Linked DNA regions of Oryctolagus cuniculus. Each later gene encodes a partner of the first gene's protein in a complex. Links are inferred from orthologs where the notes say so. Each region holds a gene or a part of one and is shown in the gene's direction. Other genes may lie near its edges. The genes, in order: SMARCD2, DPF3, PBRM1, ARID2, SMARCA2 and SMARCC1.

Evidence for each region.
Region 2: SMARCD2 (region 1) and DPF3 share a complex: the UniProt entries of both Homo sapiens proteins name them as parts of the BAF complex. The link is inferred for Oryctolagus cuniculus from reciprocal best matches to the Homo sapiens genes SMARCD2 and DPF3.
Region 3: SMARCD2 (region 1) and PBRM1 share a complex: the UniProt entries of both Homo sapiens proteins name them as parts of the SWI/SNF-B (PBAF) chromatin remodeling complex. The link is inferred for Oryctolagus cuniculus from reciprocal best matches to the Homo sapiens genes SMARCD2 and PBRM1.
Region 4: SMARCD2 (region 1) and ARID2 share a complex: the UniProt entries of both Homo sapiens proteins name them as parts of the SWI/SNF-B (PBAF) chromatin remodeling complex. The link is inferred for Oryctolagus cuniculus from reciprocal best matches to the Homo sapiens genes SMARCD2 and ARID2.
Region 5: SMARCD2 (region 1) and SMARCA2 share a complex: the UniProt entries of both Homo sapiens proteins name them as parts of the BAF complex. The link is inferred for Oryctolagus cuniculus from reciprocal best matches to the Homo sapiens genes SMARCD2 and SMARCA2.
Region 6: SMARCD2 (region 1) and SMARCC1 share a complex: the UniProt entries of both Homo sapiens proteins name them as parts of the BAF complex. The link is inferred for Oryctolagus cuniculus from reciprocal best matches to the Homo sapiens genes SMARCD2 and SMARCC1.

What each region holds. Positions count from the first base shown.
Region 1 is NC_091448.1:14,883,575-14,886,623, forward strand, and holds the end of SMARCD2 (SWI/SNF-related matrix-associated actin-dependent regulator of chromatin subfamily D member 2), read left to right. Parts: intron 1-78; coding exon 79-174; intron 175-291; coding exon 292-393; intron 394-515; coding exon 516-677; intron 678-805; coding exon 806-903; intron 904-1,058; coding exon 1,059-1,194; intron 1,195-1,367; coding exon 1,368-1,490; intron 1,491-1,603; coding exon 1,604-1,705; intron 1,706-1,777; coding exon 1,778-1,831; 3' UTR 1,832-2,549; downstream 2,550-3,049. Other genes in the region: PSMC5 (26S proteasome regulatory subunit 8), read right to left, coding at 2,638-2,691, 2,781-2,867, 2,957-3,049. UniProt on the Homo sapiens protein: Involved in transcriptional activation and repression of select genes by chromatin remodeling (alteration of DNA-nucleosome topology).
Region 2 is NC_091451.1:18,897,046-18,900,545, reverse strand, and holds part of DPF3 (zinc finger protein DPF3), read left to right. Parts: intron 1-3,044; coding exon 3,045-3,205; intron 3,206-3,500. UniProt on the Homo sapiens protein: Belongs to the neuron-specific chromatin remodeling complex (nBAF complex).
Region 3 is NC_091441.1:97,043,352-97,047,412, forward strand, and holds the start of PBRM1 (protein polybromo-1), read left to right. Parts: upstream 1-1,261; 5' UTR 1,262-1,401; intron 1,402-1,575; exon of another isoform or gene 1,576-1,713; intron 1,714-3,757; 5' UTR 3,758-3,896; intron 3,897-4,061. Other genes in the region: GNL3 (guanine nucleotide-binding protein-like 3), read right to left, coding at 1-5, 429-487, 1,033-1,045. UniProt on the Homo sapiens protein: Involved in transcriptional activation and repression of select genes by chromatin remodeling (alteration of DNA-nucleosome topology). Required for the stability of the SWI/SNF chromatin remodeling complex SWI/SNF-B (PBAF).
Region 4 is NC_091440.1:136,620,721-136,624,220, forward strand, and holds part of ARID2 (AT-rich interactive domain-containing protein 2), read left to right. Parts: coding exon 1-104; intron 105-342; coding exon 343-3,200; intron 3,201-3,500. UniProt on the Homo sapiens protein: Involved in transcriptional activation and repression of select genes by chromatin remodeling (alteration of DNA-nucleosome topology). Required for the stability of the SWI/SNF chromatin remodeling complex SWI/SNF-B (PBAF).
Region 5 is NC_091432.1:164,159,869-164,164,116, forward strand, and holds the start of SMARCA2 (probable global transcription activator SNF2L2), read left to right. Parts: upstream 1-1,448; 5' UTR 1,449-1,601; intron 1,602-3,278; exon of another isoform or gene 3,279-3,417; intron 3,418-3,834; exon of another isoform or gene 3,835-3,974; intron 3,975-4,248. UniProt on the Homo sapiens protein: ATPase involved in transcriptional activation and repression of select genes by chromatin remodeling (alteration of DNA-nucleosome topology).
Region 6 is NC_091441.1:101,101,500-101,104,999, forward strand, and holds part of SMARCC1 (SWI/SNF complex subunit SMARCC1), read left to right. Parts: intron 1-3,167; coding exon 3,168-3,287; intron 3,288-3,500. UniProt on the Homo sapiens protein: Involved in transcriptional activation and repression of select genes by chromatin remodeling (alteration of DNA-nucleosome topology).

The sequences.
Region 1 (3,049 bases):
AACTGCTCCTCCTTGTGCACTTAGCATAGTTTGTCAGAGAACCCAGCAGCACGCCCTCACGCTCTCTTCCATGCCCAGCCTAGCAAACAGAAGAGGAAGTTCTCTTCATTCTTTAAGAGCCTCGTCATCGAGTTGGACAAGGAGCTGTACGGGCCTGACAACCACCTGGTGGAGGTGAGAAGGAGCCTGGGGCTGGCACGCCAGCAGGGAAATGGCCTCGGTGCCTTTGGAGGACCAGGAGTTTATTCATGGTCACCCCTTATGCTCAGCCGCTTCCCTCCTCCCTGCCAGTGGCACCGGATGCCCACCACCCAGGAGACAGATGGCTTCCAGGTGAAACGGCCTGGAGACCTCAATGTGAAGTGCACCCTCCTGCTCATGCTGGATCATCAGGTGACAGAAGCCCGGAGTATGGCTGGGCCTTGGGGACTGGCATGGGAGGGGAGCAGGCGCTTCTGAGCCCTTCTTGTCCCTGCCCTGTTACAAGAACCACCCCCTCCCTCCCTCTTCTCCAGCCTCCCCAGTACAAATTGGACCCCCGACTGGCAAGGCTGCTAGGAGTGCACACGCAGACCAGGGCTGCCATCATGCAGGCCCTGTGGCTTTACATCAAACACAACCAGCTGCAGGATGGGCACGAGCGCGAGTACATCAACTGCAACCGTTACTTCCGCCAGGTTAGCCGGATGCTGCCATCCTGTTCTCAGCCCCTGCCCGGAGGCTGCTGCCCTGCAGCCCAGTGGTCCTAGAACCCGTCAAACCCTCAGGTATCACCAAGTCTTCGGGACTCTCTCCCCCTCTCCAGATCTTCAGTTGTGGCCGACTCCGTTTCTCTGAGATTCCCATGAAGTTGGCTGGGCTGCTGCAGCATCCAGATCCCATTGTTATCAACCACGTCATTAGGTAACTGGAAGGAGGGGGATGGGAAGCAGATTCACCTCTGCTTTCATCTGAAGCCACAGACGCTACGGGTTGGTTTCCTGCTCCCCAAGTGTGTGTATAGACTGGTGTGGCCCAGGGGGACAGCACAGACACCCCCTCCCTTTGTGTGCTCTCAGTGTGGACCCTAATGACCAGAAGAAGACGGCCTGTTATGACATAGATGTGGAAGTGGACGACCCACTGAAAGCCCAGATGAGCAATTTTCTGGCTTCTACCACCAATCAGCAGGAAATCGCATCCCTTGATGTCAAGGTGGGCCCTCCGCCTCCACAAGCTTGTGTGGCTCAGGTGCAGGCAGGCAGCTGTTGGCCTCTGTGCCTGCAGCACCTGCAGGATGGGCTCTCTGGTGCCGCCCTTCAACTTTAGGCCTGGGAACAGACCCCCAAAGCTGAGGGCCAGTCTGACACATGCACCCCTTTTCCCAGATCCATGAGACCATTGAGTCCATCAACCAGCTGAAAACCCAGAGGGACTTCATGCTCAGCTTTAGCACCGACCCCCAGGACTTCATCCAGGAGTGGCTCCGTTCCCAGCGCCGGGACCTCAAGGTGTAGTCCTCCTTCCTGAAGGGGAAGCCCCCATGATGGTCCCCCCCACCCCCACCCCCCAGTTCCAGGGGCAATCAGACCAATGTCATTGCTTTCCTCCTGGCTCTCGGCAGATCATCACTGATGTGATTGGCAATCCCGAGGAGGAGAGGCGAGCTGCTTTCTACCACCAGCCCTGGGCCCAGGAAGCAGTGGGGAGGCACATCTTTGCCAAGGTGAGGCACTGCCTGTTTGCCCTTCTCGGCTGTGAACAGCAGGGGCCTGAGCATGGTCTCCTCCTCCTCTAGGTGCAGCAGCGGCGGCAGGAACTGGAACAGGTGCTGGGAATCCGCTTGACCTAAACTGCTCAGGGATCGCTTCCTTCTTCCCCCCGGGAGCCTAGTAGGGGACCATCCACCGGGGCCTGGCTGGGGGGCGAGGGCTGTCTGTCACTCTACTCCCCAACTTTAGTTTCATAAATGTAGTGGTAGGATTCCTTGTTGCTTGGTTCCCAAAGCCTTATTCCTTACTTTCCATGTTGGCTTTAATTGGGTTCGCAGGATGTCTCCTCTGCCCCCTGCAGGCAGGCCTGGAGGCTGTGCTTTGTTTTGGAACCAAAGGCGCTGGGTTTGCATGTTTACAGGCCCCTCCCCAGGCGAGCGGGAGAGCTGGCTGGGGGAGCTGGGCAAGGAAGATGAGGGGCAGCCCAGACTCTTCCTAACCTCCTGAAACCAAAGTTCTTTGTCATTCCTAGAAGCCCAGCTGTGTTGCTGGTTTTTTCCTTTCCTTTGGGTATTTGCACTATTTGGGAGCAGGATTTTCTATGTGGGAGCCACTTATTTTGTACAGGCGTATGTCGGGATTTTTCAGGGAGCCCTGTTTGGTGCCTCCTTCCTTTCTTTCCTGAATCTATGCAAGCGGCTCCAGCCGCCATCATCTCCTAGGATGCCGGAGGGCGGGGCGGGCCCGCCAGGACCCTCTGCTGCCCTCTGGAGCTTGGTAGGGAGGGTGGGCCTAGGGTTTGGCAAGTGCCACTTCTGGCAGGTTTGGAAATTTCCAAATAAATCCTTTTGTTTATTGGTGGTGCCCAGACCTGGTCATTTGAACAGAGCGGAGAGGCTTGTCCTACAGAGCTTTATTTGAGGGGTCCACACCAAGGATGCAGGGCTCACTTCCATAGTTTCTTAATGGACATGTTCTTCTCACTGTCCTTTTGCATGACCTGAGAGAGAGAATCCGGTAATGAGCACAGGCCCTGGCCCACTGCTCCAGCGCCATCAATAGCAAATGCAGGAAGTCAGAGGCGTCTACCTTGGCAACTGCCATCTCGAAGTCCTCCTGGGTGACATGGACTCGTCGTTCCCGCAGGGCATACATGCCGGCCTCTGTGCACACACCCTGAACAGGGGAAGGGAGCTGAGGCTCTACCACTGGGCCCCAGGGCCCAGAACTTCTACCCTGCCCTCCTTCCCTGAGTCTCTGATCACCTTAACTTCAGCCCCTGACGCTCCTGGCATCAGCTCAGCAATTTTTCTCAGGTTGATCCCCCGGGTCAGGTTCATTTTCCGAGAATGGATCTT
Region 2 (3,500 bases), on another chromosome or scaffold:
TCCATCAGGAGTTCTGCAAGTTCTCATCAGTGTGGTGTGGCTGACATTGTGGCATGGCCAGTGTGGTCAGCATGATTCCTGGAGGGGAGCTGGAACAGTCAGGTCACCCTGAACAGGGTGGGCCATCGGCCTGGGCTGAGCTGTTGTAAGTTTTGTCCCACTGTGCTACATCAGCTGGGTTGAGGAGGCATTTAAGCTGGTGTGACACAGATGCACATTTTCTAGGAAATTATTATTCTTGATCAATCTGGTGATCCTTGTCACCAACTTTGATTACATCAGCTTATGTGCCATTCAGTTTTATAGCATTTTAATGGGCTTTCACCCTCCCCTCCCAAATTTATTTCCAGCTGTGTGACTATTCTAATTTGATTATTTTTTTGATTTTGCAACTACCGGCACAGTTTCTGAGCATGCTATGCCTTCCTTGGGAGTACGAGGATCTTCAGGGGGTGAAAAAAACCAAAGCTTTCTTTTTTTCCAGATGCTTGTCAAAAAGTTGATTAGTTGTATTCTCCCAGAGTAAGATGTTTGCTTGGAACTCTTTGATAGAATCTGACCCATTGATTTTCTAAAAACAGTATAGAAAACTTCATTTAGAACTTTGCTTTCTAACAAGTAGTGGTGAAGATGGGGTAACTGGAAGCCTGGTGCACTGTGGGTGGGAATGTGAAATGAGATAGCCACTAAGGACAATCATATGAGTGGTTGCTTGACAGATTGAAAATGGGACTACCGTATGATCCAGCAATCCCACTCCTGGGTGTGTGCCCGAAATAATTAAAAGCAGGGACTTGAACAAGTACTTATATGCCCAGAGTCCATGGCACCATTATTCCCAATAGCTCAAACGTGGAAGCAACCATGGATAGAAGAATGAATAAGCAAAATGTGGTTTATACAGACAATGGAATATTATCTAACTTTAAAAAGTAAGGTGCTTAGATGAACTGAAATCAAAGGCAGGGAAAGTCGAGTGTTGTTTGCCAGGGTTGGGGAGAAGGTGGAATAAGGAGTTAGTGTTTAAGCGGTAGAGTTTCACTTGCACAATGAAGAGTTCTAGAGCTGGATGGTGGTGATGGTTGTGCAACCACGTGAAGGTACTTAATACCACTGAACTGTATACTTAGAAATGATTAAGATGATCAATTTTATGTCTGTTTTTAAAAAAGAATTGTAAAAGCCCAACTTGGCTTTCTTTATTATATTTTGGTTAAGAAAAACCAGATTTTTTTTTAATTTTTATTTTTTGACAGGCAGAGTGGACAGTGAGAGAGAGAGACAGAGAGAAAGGTCTTCCTTTGCCGTTGGTTCACCCTCCAATGGCCGCCGCGGCCGGTGCGCTGCGGCCGGCGCGCCGCGCTGATCCAATGGCAGGAGCCAGGAGCCAGGTGCTTTTCCTGGTCTCCCATGGGGTGCAGGGCCCAAGCACCTGGGCCATCCTCCACTGCACTCCCTGGCCACAGCAGAGAGCTGGCCTGGAAGAGGGGCAACCGGGACAGAATCCGGCGCCCCAACCGGGACTAGAACCCGGTGTGCCGGCGCCGCTAGGCGGAGGATTAGCCTAGTGAGCCGCGGCGCCGGCCGAAAAACCAGATTTTTAACCCAGAGATTTTCTCTCCTAGATTTTGACTTTCTCAAATCTACAATAGAGCCAAAAAGGACTCGCAATGCTGGTTCAGAATGAGCGACCTGATTCTCCTTTGCACCTCCAGTTCCTGTGTCTCCTCCCCTTCTCACCTCCCTCCCCTCCCCAAGAAGTTCAAATTTACCTGGCAGATGTTATTTTTTTAAAAAATTTATTAATTTCACACCTTTCTTTTTTTTAAAAAAAAGATTTTATTTACTAATTTGAGAGAGAGATTTACAGGCAGAGAGAGGGAGAGAGAGAGAGGTCTTCCATCTGCTGGTTCACTCCCCAGATGGCCTCAACAGCCAGAGCTGTGCTGATCTAAAGCCAGGAGCCAGGTGCTTCTTCCTTGCCTCCCATGTAGGTGCAGGGGCCCAAGGACTTGGGGCATCTTCTACTGCTTTTCCAGGCCATAGCAGAGAGCCGGCTGGGAAGTGAAGCAGCTGTGCCTCAAACTGGCACCTATATGGGATGCTGATGGCACAGGCAAAGGCTTAGCCTACAAGCCACAGCACTGGAAGTTATGTTATTATATTTCTATTTCCTTAAGCCATTTATTACCCTCCACCACGTGCCTCTGCTTTATTTATTAGGCATTTGATCTCGTTGATTATTTTTGTGCTTTACATTAGATTAGTTAAGTCAATGGCATGTTTTTGGTCTTCAAAAGGACACCTTCTTAACATTAGCATCACCGTATGTCTGTGGATCCCAGAGACTTGAAAATGTAGAATTTCCTGGGCTTAATCAGATCCACACTCCAGCAAAACAGGTCTCGCTACTTGTGTTTTAAACTCCCAAGAGTTGAATGATTCTGAGCTCAACTATTATTTTGAATGCTGCTTTTGTTTGCTTCCCATCAGAGAAAGTCATTTTTCTTGAAGGATGTGGTTTCAAAGTGTGGGTGTCTGTCCCTGTCTGCCCCGGTTCCCCTGTGAATCGCTCTGCGTTGCGGCGAGTTGCAGCCTCTGGTCAGAGTGTTTCTCTCCCGCAGTGGCAGGAATCCGGGTAGCTTGGCTGGGAGCTTGGGTTCCTCTGGAGCGTCTGCCTGTGACTGCAGAGCACAGGGCGTGGGTCACGACGGCTGGGAGGGGGATTCTAGAAGCAGACCCCACGCGGCATGTTGTTCCGGAGAGAGGCCACATGCTTTCTACGGCGCGGCCTCGTCACTGTTCCTGGTGGCTCATTCGCTGCGCTCCAGGCTGTCTGTTGATGGAGCTTCGGGTTGCCGGTGGGTTTGGGGTTGGAAATAGAACCTGGCGGAGGCGCTCCTGGCACTGCGCTCCGTGCGCTTCGTCTTGATCCTCATAACCGCACAGATTCTTCCCGGGAGATGGATGCGGGGGCGTCGGGTTGCCTCTGGGGCTGTTTCGGGTTCCCCCGGCCTCATGCCTTCCGTCCCTGTCTCCCGCAGGCTCGGGGACCAGTTCTACAAGGAAGCCATCGAGCACTGCCGGAGCTACAACTCGCGCCTGTGCGCGGAGCGCAGCGTGCGCCTCCCCTTCCTGGACTCGCAGACCGGGGTGGCCCAGAACAACTGCTACATCTGGATGGAGAAACGGCACCGAGGGCCAGGTGAGCCGCGCCGCCCCTGGGTGTGCGGCCGCCTGGCTGGAGCCGGGAGGACAGGGCTGGGGAACCCACCGGGTGGGATGGGGGCTGCACGTGGTCCTGGCGCGGGTTCCAAGGAATGTCACTAGGCCTGGGTGGGACACCGAATTCCGGAGGCATCCTGCATATGTGTCCCCAAGAGAAGGCCAGGCCCGTGGAGAGCAGCCCTCCCCTGTCCCTCTGTGGTGTGGGTCCCAGGCTGGAAATCTGCACGCAGATCTGGGCGAGAGGCCTTGTCACCAGACCTCTGCCCCTCAGC
Region 3 (4,061 bases), on another chromosome or scaffold:
CGAATCTATGATGACAAGACATTTAATCAGTTTACAAAAAATACCTTTCTACTTTAACACAATTCAAGTAAGAGACCAATATGCATACAACCTAGTCATGCCTGTAAATGCCCCAAGAAAAACGGATCTTTAATGGGAGTCACAGACAGCAAAATATATACTTAAAAAAACAGCAACAGAACGACACTAGGAGGCTCTCCTTGCAGAGATGACTACGTGGAAGTTCCCAGGCTTCCGTACACCAAACACTGCGCCCTCCCAAAGCTGCACTCCTGATCACTGAGAGCTTGTGCTGTGCTTGGTCAGTCCATCCTGTTCCACCTCCCGAAGACTCCATCTTTACTCCAGACTTCTCGATGAGGGAGAGCCAGGGCATTAGTCGGCTTAACAGCCTTTTTCAGTACAGCTCTCCCAAGCGCAACACTTACCTTTTTCTGGATTTTATACCGCTTGTGACAGGTCATACGTTTACTTGCTTTCTTTAACTCTACAAAGAAACACATAACACACGGCCTGGTTTAGTTTTCCGTGAGTGAACTAGAGTCACACCCTTGTGTATTATGTCAAATCTAACGTTAAGAATCATGTGGGGCGCTGAATAAAAACACAGATGCTACTCTCAAATCCCAGATCCGGAACGGAGCCCCAAATCCCTGCTGTTTCCGTGTTAGACGGAAATCACATAGAGCAGTATACGAGTCCCAAAACGACTGCCACTTCGTGTAAGCTCCACGGATCATAAAGCAGGAGAGCAACAGTGGGTTTGGGAAGCGGCTCCCCGGCTCAGCGAGCCCGCCCGCACGCGGCCTGCCACCTGGCTCGGTCGCGGTCTCCTGACAATATGGCGTGATCTTCTCCACCCTCGGCCCGGGCTTAACAGGATGGACACGAGGCCGCCCAACGCTCGGTTATACCGGGAGCAGGGCAACGGCCCACCAGCAGGCCCCAACCTCCCAGAGACCAACGCCCTGGTGCGTTCAGGAACCACCAGAAAAAGAGGCGCCTGCAAGCCCGTTTGCCGATCCCACTCACTGGGCCGCTTCATGCTGGCTGCGGAAACCGCGGCGGCAGAGAACGAAGCAGCAGCAACCTTCCTCGGCGAGCGCCACGTGTGAACTGAGGCCACGAACCAGCGTCACGCAGTCACGTTACCGTCGTAAAGCGCGCCTTCTCTCCTCCGCGTGCGCGCGCACGCAGTGTCGCGCGGAGCCAGGCTCGCTTGGCGGCAGCAAGGCTGGTTTTGCGGCGGCTCTGGGAGGGGTGAGGGCGGTGAGGGCGGCGGGTGCCGGAGCGACGGCAGCGGCCGCGGCCGGAGGAGCAATAGCAGCAGCCGTGGCGGCCACGGGGCGTGGCGTGGCGGTCGGCGACCGCGGCCGGGGCTGCAGACGGCGGAGCGGCTGGGTAAGACCGGGCCCGGGGCGGGCGGGGCCGCTCCCCTTCGGCCGGCCGCCGGGCCTTTGTGTGGGCCCGGGCGGGCGGGCGGGAGCCGCGGCGGAGGCCCCGCCCCGGCCGTGGGGACGCGCCGGTCGGGCCGGGCGCGCGGGCGGGGCGGGGCGCGGCGGCGGGCCTCGGGACGGGCCCCGCAGCCTCGCCGCACCTGCCGGCCGGGACAAAGGCGCGTTGCGGCCCGGAAACTCCGCGCGCCGCTTTCCCGCTCGTCGCCCGGCAGCTTCAAAGCTGTCAACGTTTCCCTTAGTCCCCTACCAGTGACAGGTCGGCCAGGTCCTCCGTTTGCGCCGCCGCTTAGGGCCTGTTTTTGTTGTTGTTTGTTGAGGGCTCAACAGCAAACTCTGCTTAGGAGACGCGTTTTATCTTTCTGGGCGACGGTTCAGACCGAGTATTTTTGTGACTGCGACTTGTATTTGAGAGTAGGGGCTAAACATCAAGTGTTTCAGCTTCTCATTCGCTGCACTACAAAGAATCGCGGTTTGAAAACAGCCTGTTGTTGTTTTTTAAACAATATTTTTCCATCAAAGTTTTTTACGTTCTGAAAGGGAAGCATAGTTTGGTTATTAGAAGGAATAAGAGTCGATGTGCAGAGGAACAAAGAGCGGCAAAGACAGGGAAGAATCCTGGAAAACCAATGGCAAATACGCGGTGGAGTGGCATATGCTGGAGTAAAACGTGTTCCTTTCCTCCACACTGGGACTCCAAATGGTTTTCGGTCTTGGAGTTTTTCCATTCGTTACTGCGCTTTCCCCCGAATCTGGGAAGCAGGCTGTACTCAATGCCAGTATAAAAGAATAGTAAATCTTTGCTTTTGTTCTTTGTTAGCGAATTGCCCGTCTGGATTTTAAGATCCAGAGTGGAAGGTTGGAAAGTACCTCTTGAAGAGGTGTTTGAGATTAAAACTGAAACAAATATGTGTCTGGAGAAATGGAAGGAGTTTGACCATTTTCTTTGACTTTGGGAGTGTACAAAGCACTTCAAATATTAATATTCTGCCAAAATTCCCTGGATAAATAAATTTTATATCTTTGTGATAGACTGCTCTCAAAACATCAAACATCATGAGGAAGAACGCTAGCTTGGGAGAATCTTCCCTAACTTAAAACAGAGGCCATGAAATAATAATAATAATAATAATAATAATAATAATAATAGAGTTTGTTAACACTTTTGTTTAAAAGAAATTAGGCTATTAAAGCATAGATGAATGCCAAAAGCTCTGAGCACAAAATTTGAGTAGTTTTTCTTTGGGAAGTAGGATTATGGGTGCTATTTTTTTTTTTTTTTAAGTTTTGATTTGAGTCTTAGGTTTCCTGGTATTTTTTCTAAAGCTTGTATGTATTACAGAACTAAATACCATTAAAAAATAGGAAAGTACTAAAAGTTTATAGACTGTCACAATATACCATGTGGCTATATAGAGTAAATATTCTCCCAGTTGTACATTATAAAGTATTATTTACTATCCATGGTAAATTCTCATTGGCAGTCAGACTTGTTGACTTGTGACTACAGTCAAGGCCCTTTTAAAGCCTGGAATTGAACTCCAGAATCTCTTCGTGGAATAAAATTGCTGAAGGGTGCTTTCAGGCCTTTAAATTATGCAAATGACCTTTTTTTTAAAGACCCTGTTTTTGTGCACTTTCAGTACATTTATTAACAACAGTTGAGCACCCATCCTATAGGAAATATTAGTCTGTAAGGGCTGCAGAATTGAGTAAGATGCTGTTCCTGTGTCCAGGAAGCATGTGGTGCTAGAGTTGGGGTCTCCTTTCCCTGTCTCAGCAATCCAAGGGCTCTGTGCACGTTTTACTGTTCTCACTTAGAGATGAGGAAACAGACCTGAGAGGTTATGACTCAGGCAACATCAAACAGATAATTAGAGGTGAAAGACCTGGGACTCCTGTTCTGGTTTTGAGTGGACGTTCCTTGTGCCTTGCAAGATTGCCTTTCTTGCCAAACTTCCAAATTACATTTTTAAACTATGTCCTTTGGATAAGAAAATATTTGAAAGTTATCATTGGATTGCATCTTTTTCTTATTCAGGATTTGGGGTATTGTATCTAAACTAGGTACTCACACTGGTAATTTATATTTTTGTCATTTGGTTTTCAGTTTGTTTGCAAAAGTAATTTCGAACTGCAAAAATCGTTGAAGGCATTTTTTTTTAACCTTGCTAAATTTATATGCTGTGTCTTTGCAGTGCAAATAGGACTTTTGGAAAGAAATGTCTGTCTCTGAATTTTGGGGTTGGGGGAGGAGTTTTCCGAACTTGTTGCTCACATGAGCCATTCTCGGTTTGTTCCAGCTTGCCAACACTTGGTGTCACATGTGAGCCTCCCACATGTGTTCACTCTCCATTCCAGCTCTGTGATTGAACTCTGCTCTTATTGACTAGGGGGCAGTGGGCAGGCATGCTTCATTCCTGGAATTGACAGTCATTCCATGTGAGTAAAGGGGACCCTCAGTGAGACGTTTAAGTGTACGAAAGCACTCCGTGTTAAAATGGAAGAAATGTCAAGTACTGTTAGTGAGTCTTTGTAGCAGTGTGTTTTGATAGGTACAAGAGAACTGATAGGCCTGTTTTCTCCAGTTCTCTTATCTTTCTGTAG
Region 4 (3,500 bases), on another chromosome or scaffold:
CCTCCCACTCCCCGTGCAGATGTACTACCAGCAGCAGCCAGCGGCGACGCCTGTGGTTCGTGTCGATTCTCTTCCTGACGGGTCTCCAGCTCCTCCACCTGCAGGTAATAATTTCTATTGTGTTTTAAGCGTTGTATTATGTAAATTTAAAGTGTACAGCTTTTCCTTGTTTTTCTGGTAGTGCTTTCTTACTTGAGCTGTTATTTTCTCATAATCATATGATTTGAAGTTGCTGAATATTAATTTTTTAACGGTATTTTTTTGCATTAAGTAAAGTAAGTCCTAATTGCAGACTTCCAGTGCATTTCATTTGAATTTTGGCTTTTTTCCCCCTGTTTTCAGGAATCCCTCATGGATCACAAGCTGTAGGAAACCATTATCAGAGGACTCCTGTTACCAACCAGTCTTCAAGCTTGACTGCAACACAAATGTCTTTTCCAGTACAAGGTGTTCATACTGTGGCTCAGACTGTTTCAAGAATTCCACCAAATCCTTCAGTTCATACCCACCAGCAGCAGAATGCTCCAGTGACTGTCATTCAAAATAAAGCTCCAATTTCTTGTGAAGTTGTTAAGGCGACAGTAATCCAGAACTCTGTGCCCCAGACAGCAGTTCCTGTTAGCCTTGCTGTGGGAGGAGGGCCTCCCCAGACTTCTGTGGTGCAGAATCCTAGTGCAGGGCCACAACCTGTTACCGTTGTGAACTCCCAGACTTTGCTACACCACCCATCTGTAATCCCACAGCCGTCTGCATTACACACAGTGGTACCAGGACAGATAGCTTCAGGCACCCCTGTTACAGTAATTCAGCAAGCGGTCCCACAGAGTCATATATTTGGCAGAGTACAGAATATACCAGCATGCACTTCTGCAGTTTCACAGGGTCAGCAGCTAATCACCACCTCACCCCAGCCTGTGCAGACTTCATCTCAGCCGACGTCAGCTGGTAGCCAGCCACAGGACACTGTCATCATAGCACCCCCACCATATGTAACAACCTCTGCATCCAATATTGTCTCAGCAACTTCAGTGCAGAATTTTCAGGTAGCTGCAGGACAAATGGTTACTATTGCTGGTGTCCCAAGTCCGCAGCCCTCCAGGGTAGGGTTTCAGAACATTGCACCAAAGCCTCTCCCTTCTCAGCAAGTTTCATCAACAGTGGTCCAGCAGCCTATTCAACAGCCACAGCAGCCAGCCCAACAAAGTGTAGTGATTGTAAGTCAGCCAGCTCAACAAGGTCCAACGTATGCACCAGCCATTCACCAGATTGTTCTTGCTAATCCAACAGCTCTTCCGGCTGGTCAGGCAGTTCAGCTAACTGGACAACCAAACATAACTCCATCTTCTTCACCATCACCTGTCCCATCTACTAATAACCAGGTCCCTACTGCCCTGTCATCATCTTCCACCCCTCAGTCACAGGGACCACCCCCTACTGTCAGTCAAATGCTGTCTGTCAAAAGGCAGCAACAGCAGCAGCATTCACCAGCACCCCCACCACAGCAGGTACAAGTACAAGTTCAGCAGCCACAAGTCCAGATGCAAGTTCAACCTCAGCAAGCAAACGCAGGAGTTGGGCAGCCTGCTTCTGGTGAGTCGAGTCTGATAAAACAGCTGCTGCTCCCAAAGCGTGGTCCTTCAACACCAGGTGGTAAGCTTATCCTCCCAGCTCCACAGATTCCTCCCCCTAACAATGCAAGAGCGCCTAGCCCTCAGGTGGTCTATCAGGTGGCCAATAACCAACCAGCAGGCTTTGGAGTGCAGGGGCAAACTCCAGCTCAGCAGCTGTTGGTTGGGCAGCAAAATGTTCAGTTGGTCCAAAGTGCAATGCCACCCACAGGGGGAGTGCAGACTGTGCCCATCTCGAACTTACAGATATTACCAGGCCCGCTGATCTCGAACAGCCCCGCAACCATTTTTCAAGGGACATCTGGCAACCAGGTAACCATAACAGTTGTGCCAAATACGAGTTTTGCAACTGCAACTGTGAGTCAGGGAAATGCAGCTCAGCTCATCGCTCCCGCAGGAATCACCGTGAGTGGCACGCAGGCAGGAGTTGGGCTTCAGGTGCAAACGCTTCCGGCCACGCAGGCATCTCCAGCCGGACAATCATCATGTACTACTGCTACTCCCCCATTCAGAGGTGACAAAATAATTTGCCAAAAGGAGGAGGAAGCAAAGGAAGCAACAGGTTTACATGTTCATGAACGTAAAATTGAAGTCATGGAGAACCCGTCCTGCCGACGAGGAACTACAAACACCAGCAATGGGGATACAAAGGAAAGTGACATACAGGTGGGAAGTCTTTTAAATGGGAGAAAGTACAGTGACTCAAGTCTACCTCCTTCAAACTCAGGGAAAATTCAGAGTGAGGCCAGTCCATGCTCACTCTTTAGTAATGGGCCATCGACAGATTTCGGTGAGAATGGAGCATCTGGAAAACAGAACTCAGAACAGATGGACGTGCAGGATATCAAAAGTGATTTGAAGAAACCCCTGGTTAATGGAATCTGTGATTTTGATAAAGGAGATGGTTCTCATTTAAGCAAAAACATTCCAAATCACAAAACTTCCAATCATGTAGGAAATGGTGAGATATCTCCAATGGAACCACAAGGGACTTTAGATGCCACTCAGCAAGATACTGCCAAAGGTGATCAATTAGAAAGGATTTCTAATGGACCTGTATTAACTTTGGGTGGTTCACCATCTGGAAGCAGCATACAGGAGGCTTCAGCCCTGGCAGCACAGCAGTCTAGTGGTACTGATTTGCCCAATGGACCTCTAGCTTCAAGTTTGAATTCAGATGTGCCTCAGCAACGCCCAAGTGTAGTTGTCTCACCACATTCTACAACCTCTGTTATACAGGGGCATCAGATCCTAACAGTTCCTCACTCAGGACCCCGAGTGTCCCATTCTGCCCTGTCATCTGACGTTCGGTCTGCAAATGGCACAGCAGAGTGCAAAACTGTCAAGCGGCCAGCAGAGGACAGTGACAGGGAGACAGTCCCAGGAATTCCCAGTAAAGTCGGAGTTCGGATTGTTACAATCAGTGACCCCAACAACGCTGGCTGCAGTGCCACAATGGTTGCTGTGCCAGCAGGAGCAGATCCAAGCACTGTAGCTAAAGTAGCAATAGAAAGTGCTGCGCAGCAGAAGCAGCAGCATCCACCAACGTATGCACAGAATGTGGTCCCGCAGGTGAGTCACCGCACCACGGTGTGCCTCTTACCCACTGTTCTCGGTCGCTGATGCAGCCTGGAGGTGATGCTGTGGTCGCTCGCTCACACTCGGGCAGGCCTATGCTTTTTCTCCGGCTGTAATAGGACACTTTTCAGTTGTTAACCATGACACATGGTTGGATCTTTGAGGTTTTTTTGTGACCCAAATTAGTAATCTCAAGGTAGAGAACATCTACCTAACATCATTTGGAGAATTTAGAAAATTCTGAGCCTCTGTCTTTTTTGAGTGCTTCTATGTTTGATTTACACACACATGTTT
Region 5 (4,248 bases), on another chromosome or scaffold:
AGTCTAAAAGAATAGGCCCCTGATTTAAAATCTCCTAACATTCTTTCACACTTCATAAAACTAAAAATAAAATTGTCTCACCAAACACGGGCCTATTGGGTCCGGCCAAAATACTGTATTTTAAGGAAAACTGGAGCAAGAGGTCTCAAAACCGTGATGAGCCAGCAGATTGCAGTCTGTTGCCTTAATTGGTCTTAAATGTGCGGTGGGAGAAGAGAGACTATGATTCGCAGAGAATACGAGAGATTTATTCCCCTCCTTAAATCAAAAGCAGATTCCACGCCTCCCCCTAGCCCTCCGCCCCGCCGTCCCCCACGGGGTGGTGTGTCCCCACTTTGGGGTGTATTTTACTGGAAGCTGACAGGTGAGGCGAGGGTGAGTGCTGCCTAGCCCGCGGAGCCAACGCTGGGGCCAGAGCGGGCTTATTCACCGGGAAGGCGCTCAGCCTCTCAGCTGTTTCTCCCTCGCTGGCATTTGGAACTTGGTAGTCCTTTAGAGGGACAGATTTGGCAGGAATGCGCTTGGTACCCGCCTCCCTTTATGGGGAGGGAGCAGATTTGTTTTTAATTGCTATAACACCACCTTTATTTATTTAATGTAAAATAAAACTGACCCTTTGTGACCTTTGATGTGGTCTTTGATGTTGTATATTTTAAATAGCACACTTCCAAGTGCGGGTCTGTTGTTGTGAATCAGCAGTCTGCAGCCTGTTTTTTTTTAACTTTTATTTAATGAATATAAATTTCCAAAGTACAGTTTATGGATTACAATGCCCCCCCCCCATAACTGGGGAAGAAGCAGATTTATAATGACAGCTAACCCTTTATGGGAGGGGGGGCTGGGGTCGAAAAAGTTTCAGCCAGCTCCACCATGTCCGTTTCTTCCATGGTCAACATTGTGCCACCGACAGCTCTGGTGCCCCTCGGGGCCTCCCTGCCTCCCCTCCCGCTCCTCTGCAGGCTCGCTCTGGCAGGCGGAGGCACAGTTAAATTCCAGCACCTTCTCCACGGACGGCCCCAACTACTACGCGCTATTACTACGGCTCGCTCTCCCTTTCGCTTCCCCAGCCTCCCCGGAGGAGCCCCGCAGCACCCCTCCGAGGCTGGGCCAAGCTGGGCGAGCCTGCACCGGGCTCCAGCAGGGTTCGGGGCGCTCGGCGTCCTGCACCAGGTCCTCCGCTCCAGGCACAAGCCCGGCCCGCGAGCCGGCGCCTCGCCGACACACACACACACACACACACACACACGCACGGATCCACGCATACAGTAGAGCTGTCTCGCTGCACATTCTTGCACACCGCCCCCTGCTCCCCCCACCGCGCTCCCGGAGTCGCTGAGCAGGCCGAGTGACAGGCGCGTCCCGCCAACCCGCGCCCGGCCGGGCAGGGAGGAGCGGCGCGCGGGGCCAACTGCGGCGCGTCTTCCGGCGCCCGTGGAGGCGGCGAGGGTGGGCCGCGGGGCGGAGCCCGAGTTTAGGAAGAGGAGGGGACGGCTGTCATCAATGAAGTCATATTCATAATCTAGTCCTCTCTCCCTGTGTTTCTGTACTCTGGGTGACTCAGAGAGGGAAGAGATTCAGCCGGCACACTCCTCGCGAGCAAGGTAAATAGAACTTACAACTCCCGTCTCCTCCTCCTCCTCCCTCCGGCCTCCCCGCCGCCGCCGCGCGCGAACCCCTCCGGCACCGCGCCGCCCTCCCCGGCGACTATTCATTATTACCCTAATTATTATTTATTGTGCATGCACGGAGACCAAAACAAACAGGCGGGCCAACCGCCGCAACACACACAAAAAAGCCCGCCTCTTCTCCCCCGCGGGCCTCAGGTGGAAGGCTCGGACGCCAGCTCCCGGGGCGGCTGTGGAAGAGACCAGAAAGTTTCGGCCGAACCTTGCCGTTCTAATAATAACCGTCGTAATGACTGCTTCAGGGGGGCGAGCGGGGCGGAAATCGCAACAGATCACAGCCTTGACCCTGGGTCTGGAGCCAGGGATGCGCTGCCAACTCAAGGTTGCAACACACACGCACACGCACGCACTCGGCCAGGTTGCGGTTCCACCATCCCCTGAAACGTCGGGTGGCGGGGGCTGGGTGGGTGGGTGGTTTGGGGCGGGGGGAGGTGCGACCCTGCATCCCGAGCCGTCTTCCCCGGAAGAGTTGGAAGGGGGACGGGAAAGGAGGGCGGAGGAGCCCGGGCGGGCGGCCGGGGAGCCGAGGAACGCGGCCGCCGCTCGCTTCCCGGGGAATGTTTAAAGGGCTGCGGCTGCGGCGCCGCGAGGGGGGATCGCGCGGAGGAGGCTGCGGCCGCGGCCGCGGGGTTGGTGCGTGCGGCTCGGAGGTGTCACCTCCACTCTCCGCGTCCCCTCGGGCGGGGATGGGGACGCTGACCGTTCAGCAGGCCTTGAGGCAAAGGCGCCGTCCGGAGGGCTTGCACTCGAGGTGCCGCGGGCGTCCTGCCCCCTGGGTACCTGACAGCAGCGCGGGCTCGGGTGCTAAAGTTCGGGTGTCCGGCCCCGGGGCCGCCTGGGCTGGGCGGGCGAAAGGAGGCACCGAAGAAGGAGATCGGAGGTGCCTGCCCGGCTCTGCAACCCTGCCCCCCCCACGCCGCCCGCCCGCCACCCCCACGGGTCTGTTTTCTTTTTGCTCGGCGGCTTCCCCGGGGCTGGCGCTGCGGGAGCCGCGGCCGCGGGGGCGCCGGTGCTCGTCCGGGTCCTAGGGGCGCGCTGGGATCCGGGAGAGCCGCGGCGGCTCCGGGCCGGGAAGGCCGTGATCCGGATAATCCTCTCTGCCTGACTGTCACAAACAGGACCCGCGCGCACCCGGGCAGCGGCGGTGGCGTTCGCCAGGAAAGGGGAAGGGCTGCGGTGGGAAGGGAATGGAGGGGGGTGAGTGACGAGGGCGGGAGGCGGGGAGACCCGGGGAGAGCCTCCTCCCAAGGATGACACGCACCCCTTCCTTCTCGCTCCCTGCGTGCGAGTTTGCCTTGTTCCCATCCCAACCTGGGTCACCCCGCGCCTCTGCGCTGCTCCTCCACCCGGCCGTCTTCCCTCCTCCCGTCTGCGTTGCAAAACACGGCCATGCCATCTGCAAAGGTGTCGCGATGCACTTCCCCAAATAACCAGTCCGGAGCGCCAGCCCCCAGGCGCCTTTCGGCCCCAGGGCGCACGCCGAGCAGTGCCTCGGATGCCCGGCTCCAGGCCTCGCCTCCCGGCCGCAGTCGCGCGGCGCGGGGCGGGGCGGGGCGCAGCAGTGCGGGCTCCGGGGGAGACCCGCGCCCCGGCCGGGGCACTCGCGCCGGTTTCCGGTACACGCGGGGAGATCGCCTCCTGCCAGTATCTGCGCGCTCGCCCCCGCCGCCGCCGCCGCTCGCCTGGATTGCATTATTATTTTTATCCGGGTTGCCGCTCGCTGCGGATGGTGGTGAGCGCGGGGCTTGGCCAGGCTGCTCGCGGGGTGTGGGGGAGGAGGGAAGTTGGACGTGGATCAGGAAGGAAAAAAAAAAGTTTGGCGGGGCTGTGAGTGGGGAGGAGGGCTGGGAGGGGGCGGCGAGCTCCCGCGGCTGGGGCCCGGCGCGAGTGTGTGTGAGTGTGAGTGAGTGAGTGTGTGTGTGTGTTGTGAGCGCCGGGCAGCGCGTCGGGAGCTGCGGCGCGCTCCCCCGGAGCCCGAGGAGGACCAGCGAGGGCTGGTGGCCAGGGCCGGTGGGGGCGGCGTGTTCGAGTGGCTGGGAGTGTGTGTGCGCGCGCGAGCGGCGGAGAATCAGGAAGTCACAGCAGCGAAGCGCACACAGACATGTTTGATCGCCGTGACATGACGCGCGCGAGGGAGGAAGCGGCGGCGGCGGCGGCGGCGGGGGCCGGGCCGCGGGCTCGGGCGCCGGCCTAGGGCTGCGGCTCGGAGGACTCGCTCCCCGCCGCGCTGCGCGCTGCCTCCCCACGCTCCACCGGCGCTGAGCCCCTTTTGTGTTCCGCGTCCCCCAGGTAAGGAGCCTGCGTCGCGGCCGCCGCGGTGTCCCGAGCTTTCCAGCTCTTTGCCTGCCAGCCCCCCTCGGGTCTACGGTCTCGGCTTTCCTGCGAAGTCGGGCTGGCGGGGGAAACGGGTCCTCCGATCGCTGGCGTGGAAAACTTTCCAGTCGGAGGCACCGTGCACGGGGGGAACCGAAGGCCTCGGCGGCCACTGTCGCTTGTCAGGTCCTCGCCCAGGTCCGAGGAGTGTGAGTCGCTGTTGCAGATTCAAACTTCGGGCCTAAATGTG
Region 6 (3,500 bases), on another chromosome or scaffold:
GCTGACATTACATTTGGGTCTTTCAGCATTACAAAATCCGGGTTCATTTTCCACCTAAGCTGCTGCCTTTGTATTACTGAGTACACTTCATTCACCTCATGTTTGATAAAGATGAGCGCCTTACCTCTGCGCATAGCTCCTGAATAGTTTTCAGTTGATAAAACCCTAACAGTACTGACTTCAGACTGATTTGTTCACCGCCTGAAGGATATCTAAGCTCCCAGATAAGTTTCTTCCCAAAGTTTGACTTATTGTTGAAATAAGATTTGAGGTTTCAGGATGATCACTAAAGTTAGGTCACCTAAGGAAGATGTTTTAATACCTTTTACACAAATTATTTGACAGTTAAAGATAGTTAAATGGTTATTTTTTTAAAAAGATTTATTTATTTATTTGAAAGTCAGAATTACAGAGAGAGGGAGAGACAGTGGGAGATCTGTCCACTGGTTCTCTCCCCAAATGGCCAGGCCCAAGCCAGTAGCTTCATCTGGGTCTCCGATGTGGGTGGCAGGGGCCCAAGGGCTTGGGCCGTCCTCTGCTGATTTTCCTAGGCTATTAGCAATGAGCTGGATCAGAGTGCAGCAGCTGGGACTTGAACTGGCATCCATATGGGATGCTGGTGCCGCAGATGGTGGCTTAACCCTCTGTGCATAGCACCAACTCTGTAAATATTTTTAAGATTTATTTTTTATTTATTTATTTTTATTTTTTTGACAGGCAGAGTGAACAGTGAGAGAGAGAGAGAGAAAGGTCTTCCTTTAGCCGTTGGTTCACCTTCCAATGGCCGCGCTGATCCAAAGCCAGGAGCCAGGTGCTTATCCTGGTCTCCCATGGGGTACAGGGCCCAAGCACCTGGGCCATCCTCCACTGCACTCCCTGGCCACAGCAGAGAGCTGGCCTGGAAGAGGGGCAACCGGGACAGAATCCGGCTCCCAGACCGGGACTAGAACCCGGTGTGCCGGCGCCGCAAGGCAGAGGATTAGCCTAGTGAGCCGCGGCGCCGGCCAAGATTTATTTATTTGAAAGGCAGAGTGACAGGGAGTGATAGATGTCTTGCATCCACTAGTTAGCTCCTCATATGGCTGCAACAGCCAGATTGGGCCAAGCCGAAGCCTGGAGCCTGGAGCTCCATCTGAATCTTCCAATTACCGGGGCCATCTTTTACTGCTTTCCCAGGCACACTGGCAGGGAGCTGGATCGGAAGTGGGGCAGATGGAATGAAATCCTTTGCTCTCTTATAGGGTGTCAGAATTGTAGGTAGCGGCTTGACCTGCTGAGCCACAACACCAATCCTAGTTATTTTCATAAATCATATCTTTTCTTTCCATTTCCTACAATCTTTTTTTTTCTTAATTTTATTATTTTGTACAGCAGGGAGACAGGAAGAGACAGACAGACACAGGTTGTCCATCTGCTGGTTTACTCCCCAGATGACTGCAACATTTGGGACTGGACCAAGGCTGATGGAAGCCAAGAGCTGGGAACTCAATTTTGAGTCTCCCTTATGGGTAACAGACTCAAACACTTGAGCCTTGTGGTAGAATGTGCATTGTGGTGCAGCGAGTTAAGCTGTGGCTTGGGATGCCAGTGTCCCATTCATATATTCATGCCTGGGATCCAGTCTTGCCTTTGCTTCCATTTTAGCATCCTGTTAATGCACCTGGGAGGCCATAGTTTATGGCTCAAGTACCTAGGTCCCTACCACCTGCATAGGATACCTAGATTAGTTCTTGGCTCCCAGCGTCAGCCCAGTCCAGGCTATTGCAGGCTTTTGAGGAGTGAGCCAGCAGGTGGGAGATCTCTCCCTATCTTTCTTTCTGTCACTATGTCTTTATTTTTCTTTGCCCCCCCCCCTTTTTTTTAGATCGTTATTTATTTGAAAGACAGTTATAGAAAGAGAGGTCTTCCATCTGCTAGTTCACTCACCAAATGGCCCCATTGGGTGGAGCTGGAGTTTCATCCGGTTTTCCCACATGGGCGCAGGGTCCCAAGCTCTTGGGCCATCTTCTGCCGTGTTCCCAGCCGCATTAGTGGGGAGCTGGATAGGAAGTGGAGCAGCAGCTGGGACTCAACGCCCATTTGGGATTCCGGGGCCTAACCTGCTAAGCCACCATACTGGCCCCCACATGAACATTTTTTTCCCGTTTTTTTTTTTTTTTTTAATGTTTTATTGAAATATAGTATATATACCATGAGATGCACTTAAGTATAGCTTTTTTTCATTCTGAATGACAATATTGGGAATGAAACATGTATGTTATAAAGGACCTTAGAATATACACAAAGATACATGTTATTTCAAATTTTTATTTTCATTTTTTATTTGAAAGGCAGAGAGAGCTCTCCCATTTGCTTGTTCACTCCCTAAATGCTGACAAGCCAGGAATTGATTTCAAGTAAGCCACATGGGTAGCAGGTACCCAAGTACTTGAGCTATCATCTTCTGCCCCCTAAGATGTGCGTTAGCAGGAAGCCGGATCAGAGGCCCAGTTGAGACTTGACTCCAGGCACTCTGATGTCAGATGTGGGTATCCCAAGGCACAGTGCCCTTCTCTGTCTACTAAAATTTGAGAACAATGGCTTTAGACTGACAGTTGACATCTTATATGCTCTGTTGTATAAAATTTGTCTTCAGTGTTTGATTCATGTCTGGCATATACTGCTATGTGTCACATGTGTGGGTGTGTGGGTGTTTTTTTATTTTTTTTATTTGACAGGTAGAGTTATAGACAGTGAGAGAGAGAGAGAGGCAGAGAGAAAGGTCTTCCTTCTGTTGGTTCAACCCCCAAATGGGCGCTACAGCCGGAGCTACACTGATCCGAAGCCAGGAGCCAGGTGCTTCTTCTTGGTCTCCCATGAGGGGCAGGGGCCCAAGCACTTGGGCCATCCTGCACTGCCCTCCCGGGCCACAGCAGAGAGCTGGACTAGAAGAGTATCAGCCGGCACTAGAACCCGGTGCCTTTATGGGATGCTGGTGCCACAGGCGGAGGATTAACCGAGCGAGCCTGTGTGGTATTTTTTTAAATAAAAATTTATTTATCTGAAAGGCAGAGGTACTAGATGCCATTCTACTAGAATGGCAGTGCTTAGTAGATACTAGGAAGTAAGCCAGCAGTCTCTCCTGCAACAGTTGTACCACTTTTTAAGTCTGTCTCTTTATTTTGCAGTATGTTCATGCGGATGCTCCTACCAATAAAACACTGGCTGGGCTGGTGGTACAGCTTCTCCAGTTCCAGGAAGATGCCTTTGGGAAGCATGTCACCAACCCGGCCTTCACCAAACTTCCTGTAAGTACATCAATTTATAATAGTACTGGGGCATTTTCAGTTTCTGTGTGCCAGCCTATTGCTATTTTCCTTTGCTATGACTAGTGTATAAATTTTAAAAAAGGGAACCTCAACAGAATTTTAGCTGAGGCTTTTTTGCTGTTTAAAAAAATATATTTTTTAAAAAATTTGAGAGACAGAAACAGACACATGTGACTCCCATCTGCTGAAACT